2 linked regions of the Anolis sagrei genome follow. The protein of the gene in region 1 interacts with the protein of each later gene in a biochemical or structural test. Links are inferred from orthologs where the notes say so. Each region holds a gene or a part of one and is shown on either strand. Other genes may lie near its edges.

Region 1 (7,383 bases):
CTTGGTAAACCGACTCTTCCAAACACTTGACATGCATGATGTCTTTCAAACACTTGACATGCAGGAAAAACGAAATGCAAAGATACAGAATGGGGGACAATGCCTGGCTCGAGAGCAGTACGTGTGAAAAAGATCTTGGAGTCCTCGTGGACAACAAGTTAAACATGAGCCAACAATGTGATGTGGCGGCAAAAAAAGCCAATGGGATTTTGGCCTGCATCAATAGGAGCATAGTGTCTAGATCTAGGGAAGTCATGCTACCCATGCTCTATTCCGCTTTGGTTAGACCACATCTGGAATATTGTGTCCAATTCTGGGCACCACAATTCAAGAGAGATATTGACAAGCTGGAATGTGTCCAGAGGAGAGTGACTAAAATGATAAAAGGTCTGGAGAACAATCCCTATGAGGAGCGGCTTAAGGAGCTGGGCATGTTTAGCCTGAAGAAGAGAAGGCTGAGAGGGGATATGATAGCCATGTATAAATATGTGAGAGGAAGCCACAGGGATGAGGGAGCAAGCTTGTTTTCTGCTTCCCTGGAGACTAGGACGCGGAACAATGGCTTCAAACTACAAGAGAGGAGATTCCATCTGAACATGAGGAAGAACTTCCTGACTGTGAGAGCCGTTCAGCAGTGGAACTCTCTGCCCTGGAGTGTGGTGGAGGCTCCTTCTTTGGAGGCTTTTAAGCAGAGACTGGATGGCCATCTGTCAGGGGTGATTTGAATGCAATATTCCTGCTTCTTGGCAGGGGGTTGGACTGGATGGCCCATGAGGTCTCTTCCAACTCTTTGATTCTATGATTCTATGTTCAGTGGGATTTTTTTGTGTGTGTCAGAAGCGATTTGAGAAACCGAAAGTCGCTACTCGTATGAGGGAATTGGCCGTCTGCAAGGACGTTGCCTAGGGGACATTGCCTGGATGTTTTGATGTTTTACCATCCTTATGGGAGGCTATCTCATGTTCCCACATGGGGAGCTGGAGCTGACAGAAGGAGCTCATCCACGCTCTCCTCGGATTCGAACCTATGACCTGTCAGTCTTCACTTCTGTTGGCACAAGGGTTTAGAATCATAGAATCAAAGAGTTGGAAGAGACCTCATGGGCCATCCAGTCCAACCCCCTGCCAAGAAGCAGGAATATTGCATTCAAATCACCCCTGACAGATGGCCATCCAGCCCCTGTTTAAAAGCTTCCAAAGAAGGAGCCTCCACCACACTCCGGGGCAGAGAGTTCCACTGCTGAATGGCTCTCACAGTCAGGAAGTTCTTCCTCATGTTCAGATGGACTCTTATTTCTTGTAGTTTGAAGCCATTGTTCCGTGTCCTAGTCTGATTACTTTGCAACCAGTTCCTGTTCTGTTTTTGCAGCCCTTGAAATAATAATAATAACAAAAAACAGGATGTGTCTGTCCAGGTCTCATTTCAAAGGAGGTTTAAGTGTAATTTTGGGGAAAACCCGAAACTGTCTTTATGACATTTCCAGAGGCATTCGCAACAGGCTTTCCCCATTTTTATGCCATGAAAAGGAAGTAGTAGCAGACAAAGAGAATAAAGAAGAGAAGGAGGAGAAATACTGCATTTACTCCATTCGAATGCTCACCTTTTTTGGACTAAATTACCTTCCCAAAATTAGGGTGCACGTTAGATTCGTGGAATATGATGGATCCTGTTTTGGGTTTCAGGGTTTTGGAAATTGAGGTGTGCATTAGATTTGATGCTATATTGGACTTGAGTAAATGCAGTAATGGACAAGGAAGAACAGAAGGAAGAACAACTAGAAGTAGTGGAGGAGGGGGGTGAAGAGGAGGAGGAGGAGAAATAGTAGCAGTACTGGAGGAAGAAAAGAAAAAAGACCAGGCAGAAGTAGTAGGGAACAAGAGAAAAAACAAGTAGTAGCAAAGGAGTTAGTACTACTAGTAGTAGCCACTTTGAGACTTCTTTGGAAAGAAAAAGCAGTAGTAGACGAAAAGAATTAAAAGACAGAAGAATAAGTAGTAGTAGAGGAGAAAGATGTGGAAGAACAAATAGGAGTTAGTACCTACTAGTAATACAGGAAAAGGAACATGTATTAGTCATAGAGGAGGAGGAAGAAAAGAAATGAGAGCAGTAGTAAGGGAGAAAGGGGATAAGGAACTAGAGGAGAAACAGTAGTTATTGGAGGAGGGAAAGGAGGAAGACCAGGTAGCAGTAGTAGGGGAGCAGGAGGAAGAACAAGTAGTAGCAAAGGAGGTAGTACTAGTAGTAGTAGAAAAGGATGAGGAGGCAGAAGGCAAAGTAGAGGAGGAGAAAGAGGTGGAAGAAGTAGTAGTACGCTTGGTGGAAAGAAAAAGACAATGAGAGACAGGAAGAGGAAAAAGCTAGTAGCGGAAGGCAAAAGATGAGAGGTAGAACCTACTAGTAGTGCAGGAAGATGAAGACACATTCATCATGGCAGAGAAGAAAGAAGAAAAAGAATAAGAATAGTAGTAGTAAGGGAGGAGGGGATAAAGAAGAAGAGGAGAAATAGTAGTACTGGAGGAAGGAAAGGAGGAAGATTAGGTAGTAGTAGGGGAGCAGGAGAAAGAAGTCGTTACTACTAGTAGTAGAAAAAGATGAAGAGACAGAAGAACAAGTAGCAGTGATTAAAGAAGTTGGAAGAACTAGTACTGTAATAGTACTTTTGGTGGAAAGGAAAGAACAAGGAGGGGTTGAGAGACAGGAAGAAGAAACGCAAGTACCTGGATTTCAGGAAGGCCTTCGACAAGGTCCCCCATGACCTTCTGGCAAGGAAACTAGTCCAATGTGGGCTAGGCAAAACTACGGTGAGGTGGATCTGAAATTGGTTAAGTGGACGAACCCAGGGGGTGATTCTCCCCAATGCTTCCTCTTCATCCTGGAAAGAAGTGACAAGTGGAGTGCCATAAGCAAGGTTCTGTTCTGGGCCCGGTCCTGTTCAACATCTTTGTTAATGACTTAGATGAAGGGTTAGAAGGCAGGATCATCAAGTTTGCAAACGACACCAAATTGGGAGGGATAGCCAATACTCCAGAGGACAGGAGCAGGATTCAAAACGATCTTGACAGATTAGAGAGATGAATGCCCAAAACTAACAAAATGAAGTTCAACAGGGACAAATGCAAGATACTCCACTTAGGCAGGAAAAACGAAATGCAAAGATACAGAATAGGGGACGATGCCTGGCTCGAGAGCAGTACGTGTGAAAAAGATCTTGGAGTCTTTTTGGACAGCAAGTTAAACATGAGCCAACAATGTGATGTGGTGGCAAAAAAAGCCAATGGGATTTTGGCCTGCATCAATAGGAGCATAGTGTCTAGATCCAGGGAAGTCATGCTACCCCTCTATTCCGCCTTGGTTAGACCACACCTGGAATATTGTATCCAATTCTGGGCACCACAATTCAAGAGAGATATTGACAAGCTGGAATGTGTCCAGAGGAGGGCAACTATAATGATCAAGGGTCTAGAGAACAAGCCCTATGAGGAGCGGCTTAAGGAGCTGGGCATGTTTAGCCTGAAGAAGAGAAGGCTGAGAGGAGATATGATAGCCATGTATAAATATGTGAGAGGAAGCCACAGGGAGGAGGGAGCAAGCTTGTTTTCTGCTTCCCTGGAGACTAGGACACGGAACAATGGCTTCAAACTACAAGAGAGGAGATTCCATCTGAACATGAGGAAGAACTTCCTGACTGTGAGAGCCGCTCAGCAGTGGAACTCTCTGCCCTGGAGTGTGGTGGAGGCTCCTTCTTCGGAGGCTTTTAAACAGAGGCTGGATGGCCATCTGTCAGGGGTGCTTTGAATGCAATATTCCTGCTTCTTGGCAGAATAGGGTTGGACTCGATGGCCCATGAGGTCTCTTCCAACTCTAGGATTCTATGCTGGAAAGAATATCATATGAAAGCTGATGGGAACAACCTGGGGGTCACAACCAGACACAGTGAAGGCATCTGCCCTTTTGTTTGGCTACTCTGCTGCTGAATACGCATGCCCAGTGTGGAATATATCTGGATGGTCATCTGTCAGGGGTGATTTGAATGCAATATTCCTGCTTCTTGGTAGAATAGGGTTGGACTGGATGGCCCATGAGGTCTCTTCCAACTTTATGATTTTATGATTCTAAGTAGTAGTAGTGAAAGGCAAAGAAGAGAGATAGTACATAATAGTAGTGCGGGAAACGGTACTAATAGGGAAGAGAGAGAAGTAGTAACAGTGGAGGTGGAGAAGGGGAAGGAAGCAGGAAGAAGGAAAAGGAGATTAGAATTCGTCCAAAGGAGAGGAAGCACTACTAGCAGCAGCTTCTGAGCCACGAGCGCCGCGATTCCGCTTCTGGCCTCCAGAGGGAGCGCTCGAGCCGGCTCTTCCGCTTTGCTTGGGCCACCCCTTTCTTTCTTTCTTTCGTCCTTCCTTCCTTCTTTCCTTCCTCCTTCTTTTTTCCTCCTCCTTTCCTCCGAAGACAACCAACCGCACCTGGAACCCGGGAGCGGAGGGAAAGAAAACTCCCAGAAAAGCCACTTTTCCCGGTCCTGGCGGGGTGAGCATTAAGGATACAGTGTTGCAAAGTTTGCAAACTTCCCCTGTACTAGGTTGTTGTAGGTTTTTTCGAGCTATATGGCCATGTTCTAGAGGCATTCTCTCCTGACGTTTCGCCTGCATCTATGGCAAGCATTCTCAGAGGTAGTGAAGTCTGTTGGAACTAGGACAATGGGTTTATATATCTGTGGAATGACCAGGGTGGGACAAAAGACTCTTGTCTGCTGGAGCTAGGTGTGAATGTTTCAACTGACCACCTTGATTAGCATTTGATGGCCTGGCAGTGCCTGGAGCAATCTTTTGTTGAGAGGTGATTAGCTGTCCCTGATTGTTTTCCCTCTGTTGTTTTGCTGTTGTAATTTTAGAGTTTTTTTTTAATACTGGTAGCCAGATTTTGTTCATTTTCATGGTTTCCTCCTTTCTGTTGAAATTGTCCACATGCTTCTAGTGGATTTCAACGGCTTCTCTGTGCAGTCTGACAGGGTGGTTGTGAGAGTGGTCCAGCATTTCTGTGTTCTCAAATAATATGCTGTGTCCATTTTTTAACAATCAAACAAAACAAAACACAAAGTTTGCAAGCTTGGTAGTTGATTAAATGTCCTTTGACCAGTATCTGGCCACTTGGAGTGCCTCTGGTGTTGCCACAAGGAGGTCCTCCATAGTGCATGTGGCAGGGCTCAGGTTGCATTGCAGCAGGTGGTCAGTGGTTTGCTCTTCTCCACACTCGCATGTCGAGGATTCAACTTTGTGGCCCCATTTCTTGAGTTTGGCTCTGCATCTCGTGATGCCAGAGCGCAGTCTGTTCAGCGCCTTCCAAGTCGCCCAGTCTTCTGTGTGCCCAGGGGGGAGTCTCTCATTTGGTATCAGCCATTGGTTGAGGTTCTGGGTTTGAGCCTGCCACTTTTGGACTCTCGCTTGCTGAGGTGTTCCAGCGAGTGTCTCTGTAGATCTTAGAAAGATATTTCTTGATTTAAGTCATTGACGTGCTGACTGATACCCAAACAAGGGAAGAGCTGGAGATGTCACAGCCTTGGTCCTTTCACTATTTGCTGCTACTTCCCGGCGGATGTCAGGTGGTGCGATACCAGCTAAACAGTGTAATTTCTCCAGTGGTGTAGGGCGCAGACACCCCATGATAATGCAGCATGTCTCATTAACCGGAGTCAGTGCATGGAATATATGGATCAAGTCTCCAAAAGTTCCCCCCTCCAAAGTTCCCCCCTTCCATCTGAACATTAGGAAGAACTTCCTGACTGTGAGAGCCGTACAGCAGTGGAACTCTCTGCCCCGGAGTGTGGTGGAGGCTCCTTCTTTGGAAGCTTTTAAGCAGAGGCTGGATGGCCATTTGTCAGGGGTGATTTGAATGCAATATTCCTGCTTCTTGGCAGGGGGTTGGACTGGATGGCCCATGAGGTCTCTTCCAACTCTTTGATTCTATGAATGCGGGGTACCCCAAGGTGCAGTTCTCTCCCCTCTTCTTTTCAACATCTACGTTAGACTCCTTGCCAGTTTGGCTTGGAGATTTGGCTTGGACTGCTATCAATATGCGGATGACACCCAACTCCTGTTGCGCTTGGAGCCGGGAGCAACGACAATACCAGACAATTTCACCTTATGTCTGGAGGCTCTGTCGAACTGGCTACGTGCTAGTAGGCTGAAGGTGAACCCGGCAAAGACTGAGATTCTCTGGCATGGCCGCTCGATAGGTCTGACCCATTTGCTATCCACCTTTGATGGTGCTGCTCTATCTCCGCCTACCGTTAAGAGCCTAGGTGTCAGTTCTTGTGGGTTTTTTCGGGCTATATGGCTATATGCCTCTAGAACATGGCCATATAGCCCGAAAAAACCCCACAAGAACTGAGTTATTCCAGCCATGAAAGCCTTCGACAAGCCTAGGTGTCGTTTTGGATTCGCAGTTGACAATGGAAACTCAGGCCGCTGCTGCCAGCAAACAGGCCTTTTTCCATCTACGACAAGCGAGGCAATTGTTACCTTACCTATCGGATGAGGCGCTGGCAACAGTCGTCCATGCCACGGTCACATCTAAGCTGGACTATTGCAACGCCTTATATGTTGGCCTTCCGATGTCTACGACCCGAAAGCTCCATATTGTACAGAATGCTGAGGCCAGGTTAATCACAAAAATGCCTTTGAAATGTCATATAACTCCAGTGCTGCGGCATCTACATTGGCTTCCAATTGATTATCATGGTTTGTATAAGATGCTGGTCCTGACCTTTAAAACCTTATATGGCCAGGGTCCATTGTATCTTAGAGACCGTCTCTCCTTCTCCCATCATTGGAGGTTGCTACGACAATCTCAACGCGATTTGCTCTATATACCGGGTCCTAGAGAAGTGCATTTGGAAAGCACCAGACGCAGATGGGCTTTCTCCATTTCTGCCCCTGCCTTATGGAATTCCTTGCCACCCTATATGAGAGCCATGCGTCACTTAGGGCATTTTATCCTATCACTTAAGACCTGGCTTTTTACTAGAGCATTTGACTCATGTTAATTTATTAATATTTGTATGTATGTGTTTTATCCTGTATGTTGTTGTTGTTCATTCGTTCAGTCGTCTCCGACTCTTTGTGACCTCATGGACCAGCCCACGCCAGAGCTCCCTGTCGGCCGTCACCACCCCCAGCTCCTTCAAGGTCAGTCCAGTCACTTCAAGGATGCCATCCATCCATCTTGCCCTTGGTCGGCCCCTCTTCCTTTTACCTTCCACTTTCCCCAGCATCATTGTCTTCTCTAGGCTTTGCTGTCTCCTCCTTCAACTTTGTCTCTAGTCTCCTTCCCTCCAGTGAGCAGCCAGGCTTTATTTCCTGGAGGATGGACTGGTTGGATCTTCTC
Region 2 (7,823 bases), on another chromosome or scaffold:
CCTTGTACTGCTGCTGTCCAAAAGCTTGGTCCCATAGCCAAGGTTTTGCTTAGAAACAATGGCCACTGGTTTCAGCATAGCTCTTAGGTAAGCTTTTAAAAGAAAAATAGGTTTCTTTATCTTGTAGGGAGTTGGTAATCTGCCGAGCTAAATTAAACAGGCAGTTTAACACTACATAAGAAAACTGCCTGCAAATATTTATCACTCTGTAAGCCATTGACCTGCAGACCCAATTCTGCAGTTCCTAGTTATTGACTGTGATACTTCATTAGACACCATAGATTAACAAAGACTGTAGGAAAAAGTCTCTGTGAAAAACAGGAAAAAATTGGAAAGATCTAGTCCAGTGTTTCTCAACCTGGGGGTCAGGACTCCTGGGGGGGGGGTCATGAATGGGTGTCAGAAGGGTCACCAAAGACCATCAGAAACACACAGTATTTTCTGTTGGTCATGGGGGTTCTGTGTGGGAAATTTGGCCCAATTCTATCATTGGTAGGGTTCAGAATGCTCCTTTTAGGTGAACTATAAATCCCAGCAACTACAACTCCCAAATGTCAAGCTCTATTTCCCCAAAACTCCACCAAGTGTTCACATTTGGGCATATTAAGTATTCATGCCAAGTTTGATGTAGATTCATCATTGTTTGAGTTCACAGTGTTCTCTGGATGTAGGTGAACTACAACTCCCAAAGTCAAGGTTGATGCCCACCAAACCCTTGCAGTATTTTCTGTTGGTCATGGGAGTTCTGTGTGCCAAGTTTGGTTCAATTCCATTGTTGGTGGAGTTCAGAATGCTCTTTGATTGTAGGTGAACTATAAATCCCAGCAACTACAACTCCCAAATGACAAAATCCTCTCAATCCCACTAGTATTCAAATTTGAACGTATCAGATATTTGTGTCAAATTTGGTCCAGTGAATGAAAATACATTCTGCATATCAGATATTTATATTACAATTCACAACAGTAGCAAAATTACAATGTATGAAGTACCTATGAAAATAATGTTATGGTTGGGGGTCACCACAAGATAAGGAACTGTATTAACGGGTCATGGCATTACAAAGTTTGAGAACCACTGATCTAGTTTCTAAAACATTCCCTGTGAAGATCACAAAGCAGAGTCAACAAGAAAGGGGAAAGCTGACAAAACCATTTATTCTTAAAACTAAACTAAAATCCTGTCATCTGCAAGTTACATGGTTGCAGGGAAATTGGCTAAGCTTTTCTTGTTTTGTTTTGTTCCCGCAACAAAAAACCAGTTACCACCCAGAAGAGAGAACTCATACCTTTGCTGTTTGGTGCATGACATCATATTATTATATAACGTCATTTTACTTGTTGGCAATGCACTCACTTCCAGTGTACCAGGACAATCTGTGTTATCCTCTGATTATATGATGGAAGTCCAAGACAAACCTCCCCCCCCCCCCCCCCCCTTTACAATCTCATCTGTTCTTTTCTTCCCAATATAAACCAATCACGGACTACTTATGAACAAAGACCCGCCATCTGCTCTGTAACTTTAATATTATTCTCCTCCCCACCCTAAATTTCACCCCAGTTTAATAGTCATCCCATGGCACAAGACACTGGAAAGGATTTTCAGCAATGGAACTGTATTGTGAAATTATGCCAAGAGACTATTTCAATATATTTTGGGTATGTGTGCTTGTGTGTGAGAAAAAAAAATCAACAATGTTTTACTTTCTGCAGTAAAGAAAACAGATATGGAAAGATGGGAGTCTTTCCTCCCCTCGTCCCATATTAACAGTGACAATCTCCCACTGAGAAGCAAAATTCAATTGACCCTGGGTTGTGAGTTTTCTGGGCTGTATGGCTATGTTCCAGCAGCATTCTCTCCTGACATTTTGCCTGCATCTATGGTAGGCATCCTCAGAGGTTGTGAGGTCTCACAACCTCTGAGGATGCCTGCCATAGATGCAGGCAAAATGTCAGGAGAGAATGCTGCTGGAACATAGCCATACAGTTTGGAAAACTCACAACAACCCAGTGATTCTGGCCATGAAAGCCTTCGACAATCAATTGACACTGTTTGTTTTCTCCATCACATCCAGCCTTGGGTTTAATATGCCTGGTGGAAGCAGAGGGCAATGTTGGGGGGGGGGGGGGGGTTGCTTGTTTGTTTTACCAGCCTTGACTCCCTGATCTCCACAACTGGAGATCTGGGGAGAGACTATCATGCCCTTCCGCTCCTTTCCTCTCCCTCTCCATCCCCACCAGCCTTTTCCCAGTTGCAACCTTGGTCTGAACTCCCTTTTGCCACCAACTTGCGTCTTTTTATCCCAGACTCTGGAGGACTGGTGCGGATCCCTCCCTGCCACCTTCTTCCTTTTCCTTTTGAGAATCGCCAGAGGCTCGTTTGGAGCAAAGATGGGAGGAAAATGTTGCAATAGGAGGAAAGGATAAAGGCAAGGCGGGGAGGAAGAAGGGATGGATGCTGCCGAGGGCGGATGGATCGCAGGCGGGAGCTGTCCGCGCAGGATGGTGCTGAAACGCCGCAGCCATGGCATTGCAACAAAAATACAAGGGGAGCGAGGCGAGGGCGGAGGCGGGGAGGAGGAGGAAGAGGAGGAGGAGGAGGAGGAGGGAAGCCTGGGCAAAGCACACAAAAGACCCATCCCAAATACCTTTGGAGCCCCGCGCAGCCCCGCCTCGGGTGAGGTCCTCCGCAGGGATGCTGTCCTCAAAGGCAGATGGAGGGGTTCAGGGAGGCGGAGAGGTCGCCTTCCTCGGTGCGCCTCAGCTCCAGAGCTTCTTCCCCAGGAGCGGCGAAGGAGTGAGCCGGGGCTCCTGGAGGCTGTGCTTTTTTGGGCAGGGACCGCGCGGGTGTGTGTGCGGCTGGGTGCACGCGCCTCGGCCACGCAGAGCCTGCCTCCCCCGGGTCCTAAAGGCCTTCCCTGCTCCTGCAACAGGAGGGCACCCCTTCAGCACCCAGGGCACGGAGACCCCTCCTGTGCCTGGCAGATGTCTCAAGACAGCTCGTGCCATTCACCATTTGCAGCTGCCTCAGCCAGAACATAAAACCCCACCCCAATACCCAGAGGCGGCCCTATGTAATTTTCGGTAAGCAAACAGTATTTTGGCACCCCCCCCCCCCCCCCCACCAATCACAGATATATATTTTCTGTTCACAGTGGGAGTTCTGTGTGTCATATTTGGTTCAATTCCATCATTGGTGGAGTTCAGAATGCACTTTGATTGTAGGTGAACTATACATCCCAGTAACTACAACTCGCATATGTCAAGGTCTATTTCCCCCCAAGAGTGCCTCAAGAGCCCCCCTGGGCAAAATCAACTATACTTCACGTAATGGGTTGAGCCGCCCCTGCCAATACCTTTATGTTGCATAGAGTGTCTTCCAGTGAAAAGAAACTAACCTGACTACCTAGAATTTGTACAACTAACTCTTTATTAGGGATGGGTGGACATGTGGCACTCCAGACCTTGAGGAATGACAACTTCCATAATTCCTCATCACTGGCTATGCTGGATAGGGCTTGTGGGAGATATGATCCAACATTGGGTTTCTGTGAGTTTTCTGGGTTTTATGGCCATGTTCCAGAAGCATTCTCTCCTGTTTGAGGCAAGTGGGAATGCTGCAATTGATCGCCTTGATTAGCATTGAATAGCCTTGCTGCTTCAAGGCTTGGCCTCTTCCTGCCTGGGGAAATCCTTTGTTGGGAATCCTTTCCAGGCAAGGAAACAATCAGGGCCAGTTAATGACCTCCCAACAAAGGTTCCCCCAATCAAGGTGATCAACTGCAACATTCACACTTGCCTCAAGCAGACAAGAGTTCTTTTTCCCACCCTGGACATTCCACAGATATATAAACCTCACTTGCCTTGTTTCCAAAAAACCTCACAACCTCTGAGGATGGCTGCCATAGATATGGGTGAAACATCAGGAGAGAATACTTCTGGAACATGGCATACAGTCCAGAAAACTCAAGCAACCGAATGAGTCCAGCCATTAAAGCCTTTGACAACACATTAACCTAACATTATCTGAAAGACTATGGAGGCCAACTTTTGCTGTAACTTAGCCTGAATCAAAATTGCTGCTCTCCTATTCTTGATTCCCATCTGCCTCAGTCTAATTCTATTTCTCTTCAGTCACTGCCATATTGACCACTGATGAGGAATTGAATGCTTTCAAGACCTGCAGGTTGACAGGTTCTTAGTCCCGGTTCAATGCCAGAGAACAGCCAAAGTGGTGATAAAAGAGCATAAACATATTTGTTTGGGTATGGTCTACCCTGGGTCCTGCATAAGAAGAAATATAGTATAATTATAAAAAACATTAATAATAAATCCCCCAACATGGTGCCCTCCAGATGTTTTACCATGTATTATCCATCATTCCTTATCATTGGTGACAATGACTGGAAGCAGTGGTTCCCAACCTTTGTTCCTCCAGGTGTTTTGGACTTCAGCTCTCACAATTCCTAACAACTGGTAAGATGGCTGGGATTTCTGGGAGTTGAAATCCAAAACACCTGGAGAACGAAAGGTTGGAAACCACTGGCTGGAAATAATAAAAATTGTGATCTAAAATATCCAAAAGGCAACATGGCTACAAAAGAACCACAATTTGCTTTGGTGTACAGTAGTTGATAAAAACAAAATAAGTAAACTGTGTATGGCAATTTTAAAATAGAGGAGTTCTTCAATGAGAAGAAATGGTAATTACGCTGCTATGCACACTTCTAGGTAAAAGATCCCCCTCTCCTCTTAGTGAAAACTTTTCCAATAGTACATTCATATTACTTGAGGTCCATCATTTCTAAAGCAGACTGACAACACATCTGAGGGGCAAATATCACAGTTAATAGAAACCTATTTACTTACTAGATCTTTCAGTGCTCATTCATGAATTGCATGTTGCAAGCATCTCAGAGGAATAGCAATTATGAATTAAACAGAGAATTCTTCTTCCCTAATCTACAGTTGTCATTCGGAGTTGTTTCCTTTCCAATTACTCCCTTCAAATGTTTAGATTTAAAACTATACTTACCAGAGTTTTTGCAATCAATGGCTAACTGTTCATCAGTGAAGTTAAACATACTGCTACAGTCTGCTCCATTTGACAAGGCATTCTGTTTTAAATTAATGTGTTGAGTTGTGTGTGTTATATTTTTTTTTAAGAAATGTAAAAGATGGCATGTTATGATGTAGTTTGAAAACACAGGATCAGATTCTTCCATGTCTTCCAAACTTATTCATTTTTTAAATTTTAAAATAATTTTAATATAGTGGACGATTGTTGCTTGTGGGCCTCACATATTATTTCTGGACCAAGTGTCCTGCAAATTTTGAGTTCCAATATTTTGTTTTGCTCTTTACTTGACCAATAGTACCTCTACACCAGGCATGGGCAAACTTCAGCCCTCTGGGTGTTTTGGACTCCAACTTCCACAATTCCTAAGGAATTGTGGGAGTTGAAGTGCTAAACACCTGGAGGGCTGAAGTTTGCCCAATTCTGTTTTACATCATTGGAGGAATGCTATTAGCTTCTTCTTCTTCTTCTTCTTTTTTTTGTTATTTTTCAAGGCATTTGGAGGCTATTAGGCTTGTTCTGGGTTATCATGCAATGATTTTGTGTCGGTAGATAATACTATCTAGGCAAAAAGAGCTCCTAACCATGGCAACTTTCAATAGTACCCCTTCTGAAGTGGGAAAATTGAGGAATGTTATTTCTTTTGTGGGGGTGGCAAAGCCAAAAGAAATGACAGCCAGAATATGGCAAAGGTGGAAGTGAAAGGTTCAAGGCAGAAAATCCCACAATATCTGTTTTGAACTGGGTTATCTGTGTCCACACTCAGATAATGTGGGATTTTCTCCCTTGATATTCTGGCATATAGGGCTGTGTGGAAGGGCCCCAACTAGATACAAAGGGTGATGTAGCAGAACCTGAAGTTGTAGGTTCAGGGTTCTGTAAGCTTTTGGGAAGCAGGGTAATTGACATGAGCTGCCACCCTACTCGGGCTTCCCTGCTTCCTTTGAGTTTAGTGGCTATCCTCGCAGAAGCTGCAGGCAGCGGATGGATAGGATTTTCCAATATACTCTTATGATTTATCCTTGTTGTCATGCATGACTTGCATGTGAATGGGCAAATAAAATTATGATATCACTGACTTTTTATGGAAAATGCTGTTTTATGTGTTCGATATTGTGGTACTAAGGTAAAAAGCTGGCAGGAGGGGGAATGAGAATGAAATACTGGAAGTGAATGATGATTTGTGGAATGTCTGGAGGAATTTGAATAATGGCAGACAGTAGAGTTAAATAGAGAATTGTGGTGAAGAGAAATGAGTGGATGAGTGAGGATGAGGGTTAAGAGAATCAGTCATTCAGGTTAGGAATTAATGAATGGCATTTAAGAGTCAATTAGCTAGGACTCGAATGTGTGCAAGACTGTGAATAATGTTCTAAAATTATTTTTTAAATGGGTATGTTTTGTATGTTTGAATTTTGTTAATAAAGTATATTTTTGTATTTTCATTTCTCTACAACTGCTATATATTATAAATATTCAATTTTGACATTATGTCTATGGAGGCAGCCGTGAATAAAGAGATTTTGTGTCTGAGAGTAAAAGTTGCATATCATCCCACACAGGAGTATTGAGGGTATCTCTATGTGACAATAGCATGTGGGATGGGAAGAAGCCCTTACATTGCTGAGGAGGATAAAGGTCAAGGTAAATGTTTCCCTTGACATTAAGTCTAGTTGTGTATGACTCCGAGGGGAGGTGCTAATCTCAATTTTTAAGACGAAGAACTGGAGTTGTCCATAGACATCTCCAAGTTCATATGGCCAGCATGACTGCATGGAGTGCCATTACCTTCCTGCCAAGGCAGTACCTACTGATCTCACATCTGCATGTTTTCAAACTCCTAGATTGGCAGAAGCTGGACCAAACAGTGGGAGCTCACCCCGCTCCCTGGATTCGAACTGCCAACCTTTTGATCAGCAAGTTCAGCAGCTCAGTGGTTTAACCGGCTGTGCTACCAGGGTGTCCTGCTGAGAAGGAAGGATAAGGGAAAATCCTGACTCTTGGTGACTTCAGTGAGATTTTTGGCAGAATTCATTTTTGATGACATTGGAGATTTAGGCAGAAACTCATACGGGTGGGAAAGCAGTGGGATGAAAGGGAAACAGTTTCACAGAGATCTAGATTGGTGAAACAGCAGGAATTGATTTGTGGATGTGAATCAACACAGCTCTCTGGATGTCATAAGAAGTGACTGCATTTCAACATCTACGACCACACTGCCATGGCCTTTCCACACTGTTCAGTTATAGCACTATGAATCCATTTGAAGTCTCATGGCATCCTAGAAGCCTAGGACACTACAGCTCTCTGGCTGAGAATTCGAAATACAATCTCTGCAAACTGCAAAAGCCGGGATATCATAGAATGTTGTAATTGCAGTTAAAGTGAAAGGATTGTACTATAACGATGTAATGTAAAAAAGCTCCTGGTTGAGGGAAACTTATTATTTAAAAAATAATATTTGGGGGGGGGGGAACCTTTACTTTCTATGCTGCCATCCTGTGGAATCCTGGGGTTTATAATATGGTGTAGTGGTGCTACTCTCGAGTTCTCTGCTAAACAGATCAAATCCCTGAATCCCATAACAATTAGCCATAGCTGTGAAAGTGGTCTCAAACTGTTATGATTGTACAGTGTAGATACATTAACTTTGTGGAGGAAAAAGGATAAGATGACACTAGCTACAACAGGGGAAAATTGTGCTATTCACTCCCTAGACTCCCCTCAGTCTCAGTGCTAAAACC

What was found.
Region 2: the proteins of LRRK1 (region 1) and CLVS1 form a complex in vitro, tested with the Homo sapiens proteins (2 studies listed by BioGRID and IntAct, with this or other methods). The link is inferred for Anolis sagrei from reciprocal best matches to the Homo sapiens genes LRRK1 and CLVS1.

What each region holds. Positions count from the first base shown.
Region 1 is NC_090029.1:13,127,605-13,134,987, reverse strand, and holds the start of LRRK1 (leucine-rich repeat serine/threonine-protein kinase 1), read left to right. Parts: upstream 1-4,371; 5' UTR 4,372-4,527; intron 4,528-7,383.
Region 2 is NC_090024.1:47,513,079-47,520,901, forward strand, and holds the start of CLVS1 (clavesin-1), read right to left. Parts: upstream 3,015-7,823; 5' UTR 2,651-3,014; intron 1-2,650.